Linked DNA regions of Arabidopsis thaliana. The protein of the gene in region 2 interacts with the protein of the main gene of each other region in a biochemical or structural test. Each region holds a gene or a part of one and is shown on either strand. Other genes may lie near its edges.

Region 1 (3,757 bases), on a different chromosome or scaffold from region 2:
TGAAATGCCAACGCAACAACGGTCCACACCAACTTTTTACCATTAATGTTATCTTCCAACATTTCCTGACAAATGAAGAAAGAAAGTAAAAAAGGTAAATCAAATAGTGTACAGAGAACCAAAACATGTAAAGGAATAAAGGCAATCACTAGAAAGAAGAAAAGAGTTTGATTCTCAAAAACTCATCATTCTCCAGTATCATCTATACATACAATCAATCATACATATATACATATACATATGTAACTCTAAATCTGTTCATGGAAATTGTGTGATCTTGATAGAGCAGCAGGGTTAGCAGAAAGAACAGGGGAGTTCTCAGCTTTGTCGTTGTTATACATCTTTGTCTTATGATCAAACCCTTTGAACATACCACCGGCTTTGCACATCGCCTCGTTCTTGATTCCCAATGTTGTCCATATCGAGCTCTTTGCTGCTTCGTTAGGATCATCTATTCTCAACGTTTTCGGGACCAGAACGCACCCGGCCTTCTGTTTTCGCTCTGTCTCGTTGTCCTTTTTCGATGATCCTTCATCTCTCGGATGCTTTCCGAGAGTCGGAGAGTTTGTATTTGAACACTTTTGGCTTATAGGCGATGAGGATTGATGCGGTGGTAGCATTGGGATGGTCCAGTAAGGGTAAAACGGCATTGGATACCCTGGAGGCGGGTAAAAACCTGGTGGAGGCATCGCTGGATTCCACGTGTAAGGCCATGGAACACCTGGGATGCAAGCATAACCATTCATGTTATTGTTGTTGTTGTTGTTCATTTGTGCTTCAACAACACTGCCGCTTTGTGCTCTTGATTCATCCACTGAGTGATTGTTAGAGGTGGTCACAGAGGATCCGCTTGAGCAATCATCTCCATTCTCTACCCGAGCTACAAGCCGTTGATCCGCTAACCCGTGAAACCTGTTCCTAGCACCGTTTGAGACCTTTTGATCTTCTTGTAGCTTCATCACAGGTGTCATGGGAGCAGCAACGTGCTGCTGCTGAGCTTCGAGACCAAAACTCAAGACCCTTGTGTTTGCCTGTAAGCCCGGGTCAAGCCTCGCAGCCTCAAGAGCCTCGGAAATAGTGATGTGACGGTAATGAGAAGATGAGCTTTTGTTCTTACGACGTCCTGCCCCCACAGGAACATTCCTCATAGTCCCTCCAGCAGTCCAATATCTCTGACAAGCCTTGCAGAAATGACGAGGCTGGTTTATGTTGTAGTTGTTGTAATAACAGAACTTGGTCTCCATGCTTTTGCATCTCGGACACGGTAGAATCTTAGTCGGTTTCTTTAGGGTTTTACCATCAGGTGTCGTCTGCTGATTATCCTCAGGCGTGTCACTACTCTCTATCTGATCAGTTGATGTCGCTTCCTCTTTGTCCAAGGTTTCGGGTTTCGAATTGTTAAAACTGTTGTCGTTACAGTTGTTGTTGTTCTTATCTGATAACTCTGGAGTTACCTGAGATACAAGAAACACTAAATTAAGAACACTTGCAATGAATAAAAGAAGTTTCTCTTTATGAAATCTTAATCAAACAATTATTCTTCATCAGAAGTTCAGAACCAATAATCTCTAACAACTAAATGAACTAGTAATATCTTAATGGTAACACAAGACTGGAACTATGTTATAATTTCGTTCATGTAACTCAATAACACAAATTGTAGATCCAAAACAGACAAAACAGAGACTGAAGAAGTAACTAGTTAAGTTAATTACTAGTACAAAACTAATCTAATCATATTTATTTTTAGGACAATTCCAATTTTCAGGCCAAAATTACTTTTTATCAATCAGTACCTTCTCTGGTGATTTGTCATCTCCGCCGCTCCAGTCATCTTCTTCGTCATCCTCCACCGTAACTGCCGATTCAAAAACCGACGGAAAAGGGATTTTCATACCGAAAAGCTTAATAGCTGGATCTCTAGTCTCCATCATCATTTTTTTGGAGCCTCTGTTTCTTCTTCTCTCTATGTCTCTGTGATTTTTTTTTTTGTTGTTAAAGAAGAGAGATTTGGGAGAGTGTGAATTGGTGAAATTTAGGGATTTAGAAGATCAGTTTAAAAGAGAAGGAGGAAACACGTCAGCATCACAATTCAATTCTCAGCCACAAGTTTATGTGGCCTCTGATATTTTCCTTTTCGCTCATTAATACCGGGTCGGGTTGTCGGGTTTTATTAATTAATCATTAATATTTCCTACCTTTTTATGTGTATTATTCGCATCTAATCCTTTTTTTTTGTTCCTTTATTTTCTGTCGCACATATTTATTCGATCATTCAAAACTATATATATATATATATATATAATATTAATCATAAACTTAAAAGTATCAGTTTTTTTTAGTTTCCTATCAGAAAAGAAGTTAATTTTTATTGTGAAAATTTGTTTATTTGTTTTTTATAATTGGCGTTTAAAAATGAAGCAACATATTATATTGGTTATTAATGTACTGATTTTTTTTGCTTTATAAATCATCTCTACATATTTTTCTCTTCATTAAAAACTGTAATAGAGGATAATTGTTGGATGTACCATGGATTCAAAGAATTTTGTAAATCATCGAGTGCAAACTATAATAATAGTGCTCAAATTTGATAGATTCTAGGATTTTCGTTCAACTTTACTTATAGTTGTAAAATTTGGCACTGATTGTAAAACAAATTTCACTGTAAGCATCATGACACTTCAAAATTACTTAATACTTTTTTTTACATCATTACATGGTATTTGTATTCATTTTAAATGTTAACTATAATCTTTGGCAATCTCTCGGTCATTCGTCTACCAATTTTTAGGTAAAAAATTTCATACTAAAAGTTTTTATTGTCATATAACTTTTATGCAAAATAACATCACAATCGATATGAAAAAAAAAAACACAATCTATGTAATAATTAGGATTTGACTATGTAGATGTTTTCCTAATTTATAACATTACCGTTTTGTATAATTTATTTCTTTAGATTAGATTCTATACAACTAAACATTTTGCTATACCATAGGACAGTTTGATTTTCTATAGAATAGATATTAGACCTCGTTGGAATTGGATATCAGTTTTTTCTAACTGGATAAAGCAACCCCAAATCAAATTTAGTAATGATACTAGTCGATCCGAAAAAGTTGTTGAGTATGGTGATAAGGGTGAGTTCGTAATAGCTGTTGTGTAGATTATAAAACTTGGCCAATACTATGTCTTCAAAAAACTTGATCTCTTGGATGACTACAAAACTGCATATCTGAAAGTAGTTTATGCACATTCAATGGAGTGGAGGTTTAGGCAACCCTCCATTCCAGATATTGCTGTGAACTAGATGATGTTTTCATCCTTCTTTAGTAAGAAGAGAATAATCTCTTTGACTATTTTCTTAGTTTGTTGTCTCTTATTTTAGTGTTCAAACATTTTTTTGGTTTGGCCCAATAGTAACTAAAACTCTTTCATATTGATATAGTAATAATGCCATGGTCTCTCTTTCTTAATAGTCTGATATCTATTTCGTTTGATTTTCTTTTTTGCTTTCATTTGGTGATTTTGTTCCTTTATTCTTACCATTAAACTTGTGTTTTATGGTTTTGTTCTAAAGAATTTATGGACGTAAAGAAAAAAAAAAGATAAAGAGATTTAAGATCAGAATAAGAGCAAAAAAAAAAAAAAGCAAAGGAGGTTGGATTTTAATGTCATGTCAATAGATAATTGGCTGTGAACAAAAAGGTTTTTAGGTCTCTGCCACATTGTACAAATACCAACATGAGGATTT
Region 2 (3,757 bases):
ACTAAACGGGAACCGTTGACACAAGAAAGTGTGTGACCCCAGCGACCCGGAGGAGGAGAGCTGACCAGAACAGATTTCCACTCGGGACTACTCGAGCCAAGGTCCAACACAAATGTATCATTCATCGGCTGCATATTCACACCTTCCCCGCCAAAGATAACAATCCTGTTCCCAACTGCACATGCGCTGAAATTACACCGAGAAGGCTCAACAGTACCTCCAACTGAAAACTTCCTCCATGCTGTTGCTTCGTGAGTGGTGAACTCTCGGGCCAGTCGCACCCAACCAATCCTTTTTGCACCGGGAACACTCTCAAGAACACGTGTTGCCTCGGTACCCCATGTGTTTTGACAGACCATTCTCCACACATCATCATTCTTTGTCAACTCATTGAGCCGCCTACATACACAACCAACCGATGCAATATCACCAGGAGTCAACTGTGACAATATCTTGATAGCTATTACTTCATCACTCAGTTCGAATATCCCACAGAGTCCACGAGAAACATTACGCTCTCCGATTGGTAAAGCAGAAGTAAATGAGCGAGATATTCTAGGAATTTCTTTTGCAGATAAATCAGGAGATGGGCCAAGATCAATTTTTGCATCTGTAAATAAGAGAACGCCTATGAAATGAGTGATTTCGTCTTCTTCACGGATAGGGACTAGACGCAGCTTGTTCATCAAGGGAGATCCATCTTTCCGAAAGTTGAGCAACTCGCCTTGAAACTCGATGCCATTTTCTAGACATTGTCGCATCTTCGCTACAATTGTAGAATCTACCATTGGATGCCTTCTTTTAGTAAATGGCCCTCTACATTGCAAGAAACGGCTGCCAAATAAAAAACAACAGCACAAATCAGATACAAGACCCTCCTATTCAATTCATCGAATAGATAACTAACAACTAAACAGATACAGTACTTTGGCGAACAATTCCTCACACACAAGTATTGAACAAAGACTAAACTATATGCATAATTAACATGGAATACCAGATCAAAAGCCGCTAAAACCCAAGAGAAACATATTCAACAGAAACATATATACTTAGACAAAAACGCATTACAATTCAATATTACAAAAATCAATAATCCCAAGGCTTTCATAAACCAATCAAGACATGTGAAAAACTATCAAAGTTCGAGTTCCTAAACACTAATCCACAGACATAGGAAACATTACAAACTGAACCTCACATTATAGCTTAGTTCCTCCACAACAAACTTCTAATTCAATAACCAACCCATGATTCCAAAATGGTTCTAGCTAATAATACCTAACATAATCAACAAGAACCATAATAATGAATCGAAATATAAATTTCTTTCTGTCAAAACAGCTTTCAACAAAGCTTTCTAGTAACATCGTACCAATACCACAAATGAGACAAAATTCGCTACAGTAAAACAAAATCAACACCACAAATTTAGGGTAAAAGTCAAGAAGAGCAAACTCACCAATTTCGACCAATAACTTCTTCAGCTCGATAACCAGTAACAATCTCAAAAACAGTGTTAACATAAATGATAGGGTTGTCAGGTTCAAGAGCATCGCTGACCACAAACCCACACGGCGCCGTGCCAGGAAGACTACCTACCGGAAACGGAATCGCTCCGTTATCTCCACCGAACCATCCATCCTCCGCCACTTCATCTCCACCGCTGAGATCGGAATCACTATCCCACTCCATTTGATTTTGCATACACACCCACAAAATAAAGCTTAAGCCCACTAATCTTCTTCCTCAGCAACAGGAGAAGAGACCCAGAAGAACAAAGTTTGATTTTGAATCGAGGAATCTGATATCTGTAGGTAATCGAAGTCTCCACAGGAAAAAAGTTCCAAACTTTAGACAAACCCAGAAATCGTCTTCTTCAGGAACAGGAGATAGAAGAACAGATTTTGAAATGGAATCGAGCGAAGAAAAGAGGAATCTGATATTTGTAGGTAATGGAAGTCTCCACCGCCCACTTCTAAGAGGAGGAGAAGAAGAAGAAGAGAGATGATTCGGTCGGTCGATGACTCGGCTCTTCTCAGTGCCTCTCCTTTTCCATCTTTAACCAGACCGGTTTCTTAATTTTACCTTACCGGTTTAGTTTATCTATCCGGTTTACACAAAATATCCTGTAAGTTTCTTATGAGATTTTTTTGGTTTTACCAAATGAGTGTATTAGAATCAGTTTTATTGATTTAAAAACATTAGAAACTTGAATTTATCATGAAACCATTGCATCCAAAACCCAATTCTTGCTCATCGAAACGTTCTCCGTCTTTGCTGAATCCAGTAATAGCTTCAAGCCAATCAATATTTTCCTCTTCTTCTAGAGCAACAAAAGCCGATGCATAGTTGGCTTGAGCAAGACATCGTACTGCAGCCCGCCAGAATGGTGTACGCTTCGGGACATCAAGACGTCTAAGAGCGTTAATAACATCTTGATACAAAAGTACAACACCCCGTCTTTCACGATACTCCGTAATAAAGTTTCCACTATTTTCGATCACGCTTTCAATGATAGACCTTCTTCGAGGTTGCCTTGCACGTCTAGAAGAAGTTTGTACACTGTTACGTGTTTGTGTTACGCCTTGGTTTTGGGTGGTGTCTGCCATATAATCTTGTGTGTTTAGAGGGTAGACATCATCTTCAACTATCCTAAAAGACGCTTTATGCAAATGGAAGAAGGCTTTTACTAAAGGTCAAACCACATTTTTCTGCGGTTTTGTCTTTGCTCTGCAAGTAAAGTTTTTATGTGAAACAAAAACTAATTATGTTGATGTTGATTATTTGTATAATGTTAATTGTTTTTTATTTTTTCGTGTAGGTATTTGCATTAGAGCGATTTACTATCTTTCAACAACTATTTCCATCCAGTTTTCCTTTAATGGTTGAGTGGGCAAAGATATATAAACCGTATACCAAAAATTGTGCCAACAGAAGTGGGGGACACTATCAAGAGATGCTTGTAGACATGAAGGAAGATGAGGTACCTAACAAAATTTCATCTCTTTGTCATATGCATTTGTTCTATATTAAATACTTAGATTATATTTTTTCAGATTAAGTGGCAGCCATATAGCAAAGTTATATTGCCCAAGGAATACACCTCTCAATTGAGTATGGTATTTGCACATGTTCCATGCATCTGCTTTAACACCATCGCATACAACCGAACTATTTGGGAGAGCCACTAAATAGTTTTCCGATTAGGAATGACGAGACCTTGGAGATGGGAGAGCCACCAAACAAGTGGAATGAAAGCAATAGATGGGTTGACCATTCACATGTCACTGAGGTGGTCGAGACTTTGCCGGAGAAAACCAGTAAATCGGCTGATGCAAATGTGAATTGTCTTTTTTTTTTTTTTCTAATACAAATGAATTTGGTTCTCACTTTACTTGATTTAACAGCTGGAGTCCTTGGATGAAAATCACAAGGAAGCGAATGAAGAGGAGGGAGCGAATGAAACGATGGGAGTGAATGAACAAGAGGGAGCGAATGAAACAGTTAGTCATTCTCAATAATACAAATGAATTTGGTTTTGTAACATATACTCTAGGATATTAGAAAACTAAATATTAATAACTGGCAGGAAAGAAGTGATCTTCGACTTCTTAAAAGAGGAAGAGACGAACTACTTAGAAGTGAAGGAAAATTAAAACCAACCGATAGATGTACTCCATCTTTTTCGCACCAGAAACATGCAGGGGAACAAGAAACAAAAATTCCGCTTGATAGCCTCGTTTCCTCCAAAATC
Region 3 (3,757 bases), on a different chromosome or scaffold from region 2:
TGATGATGCATAACTCCCAATGCTCTCTTCACATGTCCTCTGGAACAAAGAGCGCTTATAATAGCCGTCACAGTGAAACCATCTTGTGGGCAAGAAAATTTGTCCAAGATCTTGAAGATACCTATTGCATCTTCTTCCTTACCAACCTTAACCAGAGTTTCAGCGACAATGCTAAACGTTTGCTTGTCCATCGCCCGATTCTCCTTCCTGAGATCTGATAAGAGTATCTGCATAGCTGTGTGATCCTTCTTCTCAGCCAAAACTCTTAGGACATAGTTGAATTCCTTGTCGTGTAAACTAGATCCCAAGCTTTTACACGACCAGGAGAAAAACCTCAACAGCCTTCTCGGTGAAGTCTCGTTCTTGCAAGACTCAATCACTTGGGTAACAAGGTTTGATGATGGAGAAACAGAAACCTGGTTCAAGTTTTCTTCAAGGTCATCTAGACCACCAACTGGAGAAGAAACTATCCGAATAACTTCATGCAACGCCGTTTCCGATCGGTCAACTAAATGGTGAGAGCAAAAGTAACGTGTCAGTTTTGCAGTACTCGTTAGATACGTAAACCTGTTTAATCTGACTGTGGTGGACATCATCTTCTCTGAGGAATTTCATCAAACACTTGATATGCGTATGCTTCTTAAAAGCCGCCAAATATAAACCATAGAAGGGACTCTCTCCTGACTTACATGTTTCTCAGAGTATTTACAACTTCGTTGTAAATTCTTTCAGCAACATGAAATTCAGATTTCTATTAAAAGACCTAAATTTGCAGATTTCATGAGATCGCTCGGCTCAACAACAATATATATTCATTTGTTGGAAACATTGCCCGCGTGTCTGAAAAGGGCATTTTAGTCTTTTACATTCCATCACGCTTCAAATTCAGAACCGGATAAAACCGATAATCGTGAGATACGATGGTTATAACTTATAAGTCACTAACCGGAATGATTACTCTCGAAGGCCGCCGATGCATATTGGAAAATCGAACTCCCGATAAAATAGTTCTGAAATTACACGAATAATTAACATCATAAAGTCATAAACAAGTTATTGGTCAATGGTCGATGGCAAAACGTAATAAAAGTTGGACCGGGACAAAACGTGTCTTACGGTGGATGAAGTTGAGAATATATCATGCATTATTGGTCCACTTGTACTAACGATATTCGCAGCTACTAATATGAGCCAATCGGTAATACGAAATATTTTAGCTTGTCGACTACTTACTTTCTATATAAAAGTTTAGCCTACTAATTATCTCTTTTTATGATTATGACAACTTGATTATTTGTTTCCCAACCACTGATGATGAGATTAACCATCTTTTTTGCTAAGAAGGTAAATATTTCATCTTGCTAATGTCCTGTTTACAAGACAATTTGCACACATACACTTATAACATTAGAAAAAAACACTTGAAACTTTGTTACAACATATCATTTAGCTTGATTTTTCAATCACTTTAAGAAGTTAATGAATCATAATGCCTAAATAAGTCCTCTATAACAACCATGAAAGGAGTGTTATATCTATAACCCTGTGCTTTTAGAAAGAATCATAATTTTTAGGAGTCTTTTGTGATGAGAAATTGAGATGTAATAAAAGTAAAATTTTCTATATCTGTATCTTTCGTTTTTTATTTTTATTTTGTTTGTATCTTTAATTCTTCAGTACCTAAAGATAACAGAAAAATAAAATTCTGATAATAGATTTTCTTGTTGTTATAAATATATTTTAATAAACGAAACGAAGCCGAATCCTAAAATTTGGTTTCTGATGGTTTGGTCTGATCTGGTCATATATTTTAAAAGAATTTGCAATTTTTTCTTTCTGTCGACCTTTTGATATGTTTGTTGATTTTGATATGGAGATGCATCTTCTTATCTTGTATCTTACCACAATAATATCAAAAACAAAAATAAATATCATGAGATATTTTCTCCAAGATGACGTGGCCTTTTCTCTATCTCAACCAAACTATCCAACACAACCTTTTTTTTTATGGCCTGCACTTTTTATTGTCCACGTCATCTCCTTGGCCTAAAATATCCCAAGTCCCACCATTAAGCTACACAACAACGCGTAAGAAAAAGACTTAATCTCCACCGTCCAATTCTATCCTCTTTCAACGGTCTCTGATTTACCATCTCTCTCTCTCTTTTTCGCGTCTCATAATTTGACCATTGATTGACAAAACAAAACAATGAGTCTTCTTTCTCTTCTCACTCTTCTTGTCGGAAATTCACCTTCTCTCTCTCTCCTCCTCATCTCACCGCCGGCGTTACGCCGGATCTCCGGTGACTTTTGTTGAGCTTTTTTGTTGATTCATGATTCGATATAGAGAAAAAAGAATTTCCTATTTCAGCTCTTTGTTCTTAGATTTATCTTTTTGTTTGTTCTTATGGATAAAGGATTAGGTTGGGGGATTAAAAGAGTAGTTTTTGTTTGGTTGTGAGATTACTTGACTTTGTTAAGGGGATAAATTAGGCGACTTTGTAGGGACACTGTACCGAAAAACCCTAGTTCTGATTTGGCCATGGAAGTATCATAGCACTTACTATTGTCGGCTTTACTTCTTCTACTTTTGTATAATCCTTTTTTTTCTTAGGTTCTGTGATTAGATATTTTTTTTGTGTGGGTTTAGTTGTTAATCTGATCATGGATTTGAACGGTGAGTGTAAAGGAGGAGATGGGTTTATTGATAGAAGCAGAGTCAGGATTTTGCTTTGTGACAATGATTCCACGAGTTTGGGAGAGGTTTTTACTCTCCTTTCAGAGTGTTCTTATCAAGGTATGATTTATAGGTTTGTCCTTGTCTTGTTCCCAAAGTTTCTCTTTTTACTTTGTTATTTTTTGCTAAGTTGGGATTACTACTTTAGATTGCAGATCTCTTATAGGTTCTTGTCGTCTGGCTTTTTGAGTCAGTATGGTCAGATGTGATCAAGATGACATTTTTAACCTTTGTTGATTTTAGTACCTTATTGATAGTTTTTGAATGCATCTCTAGTGTGTATTGCTTTCTATTTTTACACTATGCTCAACTGTTTGTTGTTCAAGACTCAATGATGATATATTGGATGAATTGTTTTTATTCTTTTTGGAATGCAGTGACTGCAGTGAAATCAGCAAGGCAGGTGATTGATGCACTTAATGCAGAGGGACCTGATATCGATATAATACTGGCGGAAATTGATCTCCCAATGGCTAAGGGTATGAAGATGCTGAGGTACATCACACGAGACAAAGATCTTCGCAGAATCCCTGTGATAAGTAAGCTGTGTTCTTTGTTGCTCTTCTCGTTTTATTATCTATTCGTGAAGTTGTATCTTCTCTGCTTATCAAAGTGCTTTTGACAGCATGATCATTAGCTTTATACTGACTAATCTTATAATATTCTCAATTTAAGTGATGTCGAGGCAAGACGAAGTCCCTGTCGTTGTAAAGTGCTTGAAGCTAGGTGCAGCTGACTACCTTGTGAAGCCTCTTCGCACCAACGAGCTTCTGAACTTGTGGACACACATGTGGAGAAGAAGACGCATGGTTTGTTTTGCTTGTCTCAAGTTCTCTCTATTTATCTTACTGTTTTTGAGCAATACTTGATAGCCATATCTCTCAATCTGTCGTCTTCTGAAATAAAAGACCTTGATGCATGAAGTTAATGCTATTGATTTCATATATTTGTTTTGGCAGCTAGGACTTGCTGAGAAGAATATGTTGAGCTATGATTTTGATCTTGTGGGATCTGATCAAA

What was found.
Region 1: the proteins of LKP2 (region 2) and CDF3 form a complex in vitro, tested with the Arabidopsis thaliana proteins (one study listed by BioGRID).
Region 3: the proteins of LKP2 (region 2) and TOC1 form a complex in vitro, tested with the Arabidopsis thaliana proteins (one study listed by BioGRID).

Annotation. Positions count from the first base shown.
Region 1 is NC_003074.8:17,504,028-17,507,784, forward strand, and holds the start of CDF3 (cycling DOF factor 3), read right to left. Parts: upstream 2,098-3,757; 5' UTR 1,938-2,097; coding exon 1,797-1,937; intron 1,455-1,796; coding exon 249-1,454; 3' UTR 1-248. UniProt on the Arabidopsis thaliana protein: Transcription factor that binds specifically to a 5'-AA[AG]G-3' consensus core sequence. Regulates a photoperiodic flowering response. Transcriptional repressor of 'CONSTANS' expression.
Region 2 is NC_003071.7:8,195,549-8,199,305, forward strand, and holds the start of LKP2 (LOV KELCH protein 2), read right to left. Parts: upstream 1,936-3,757; 5' UTR 1,708-1,935; coding exon 1,463-1,707; intron 835-1,462; coding exon 1-834. Other genes in the region: AT2G18920 (uncharacterized protein), read right to left, coding at 2,205-2,612.
Region 3 is NC_003076.8:24,672,876-24,676,632, forward strand, and holds the start of TOC1 (CCT motif -containing response regulator protein), read left to right. Parts: upstream 1-2,087; 5' UTR 2,088-2,664; coding exon 2,665-2,797; intron 2,798-3,114; coding exon 3,115-3,276; intron 3,277-3,412; coding exon 3,413-3,546; intron 3,547-3,696; coding exon 3,697-3,757. Other genes in the region: AT5G61370 (Pentatricopeptide repeat (PPR) superfamily protein), read right to left, coding at 1-596. UniProt on the Arabidopsis thaliana protein: Controls photoperiodic flowering response. Component of the circadian clock. Expression of several members of the ARR-like family is controlled by circadian rhythm.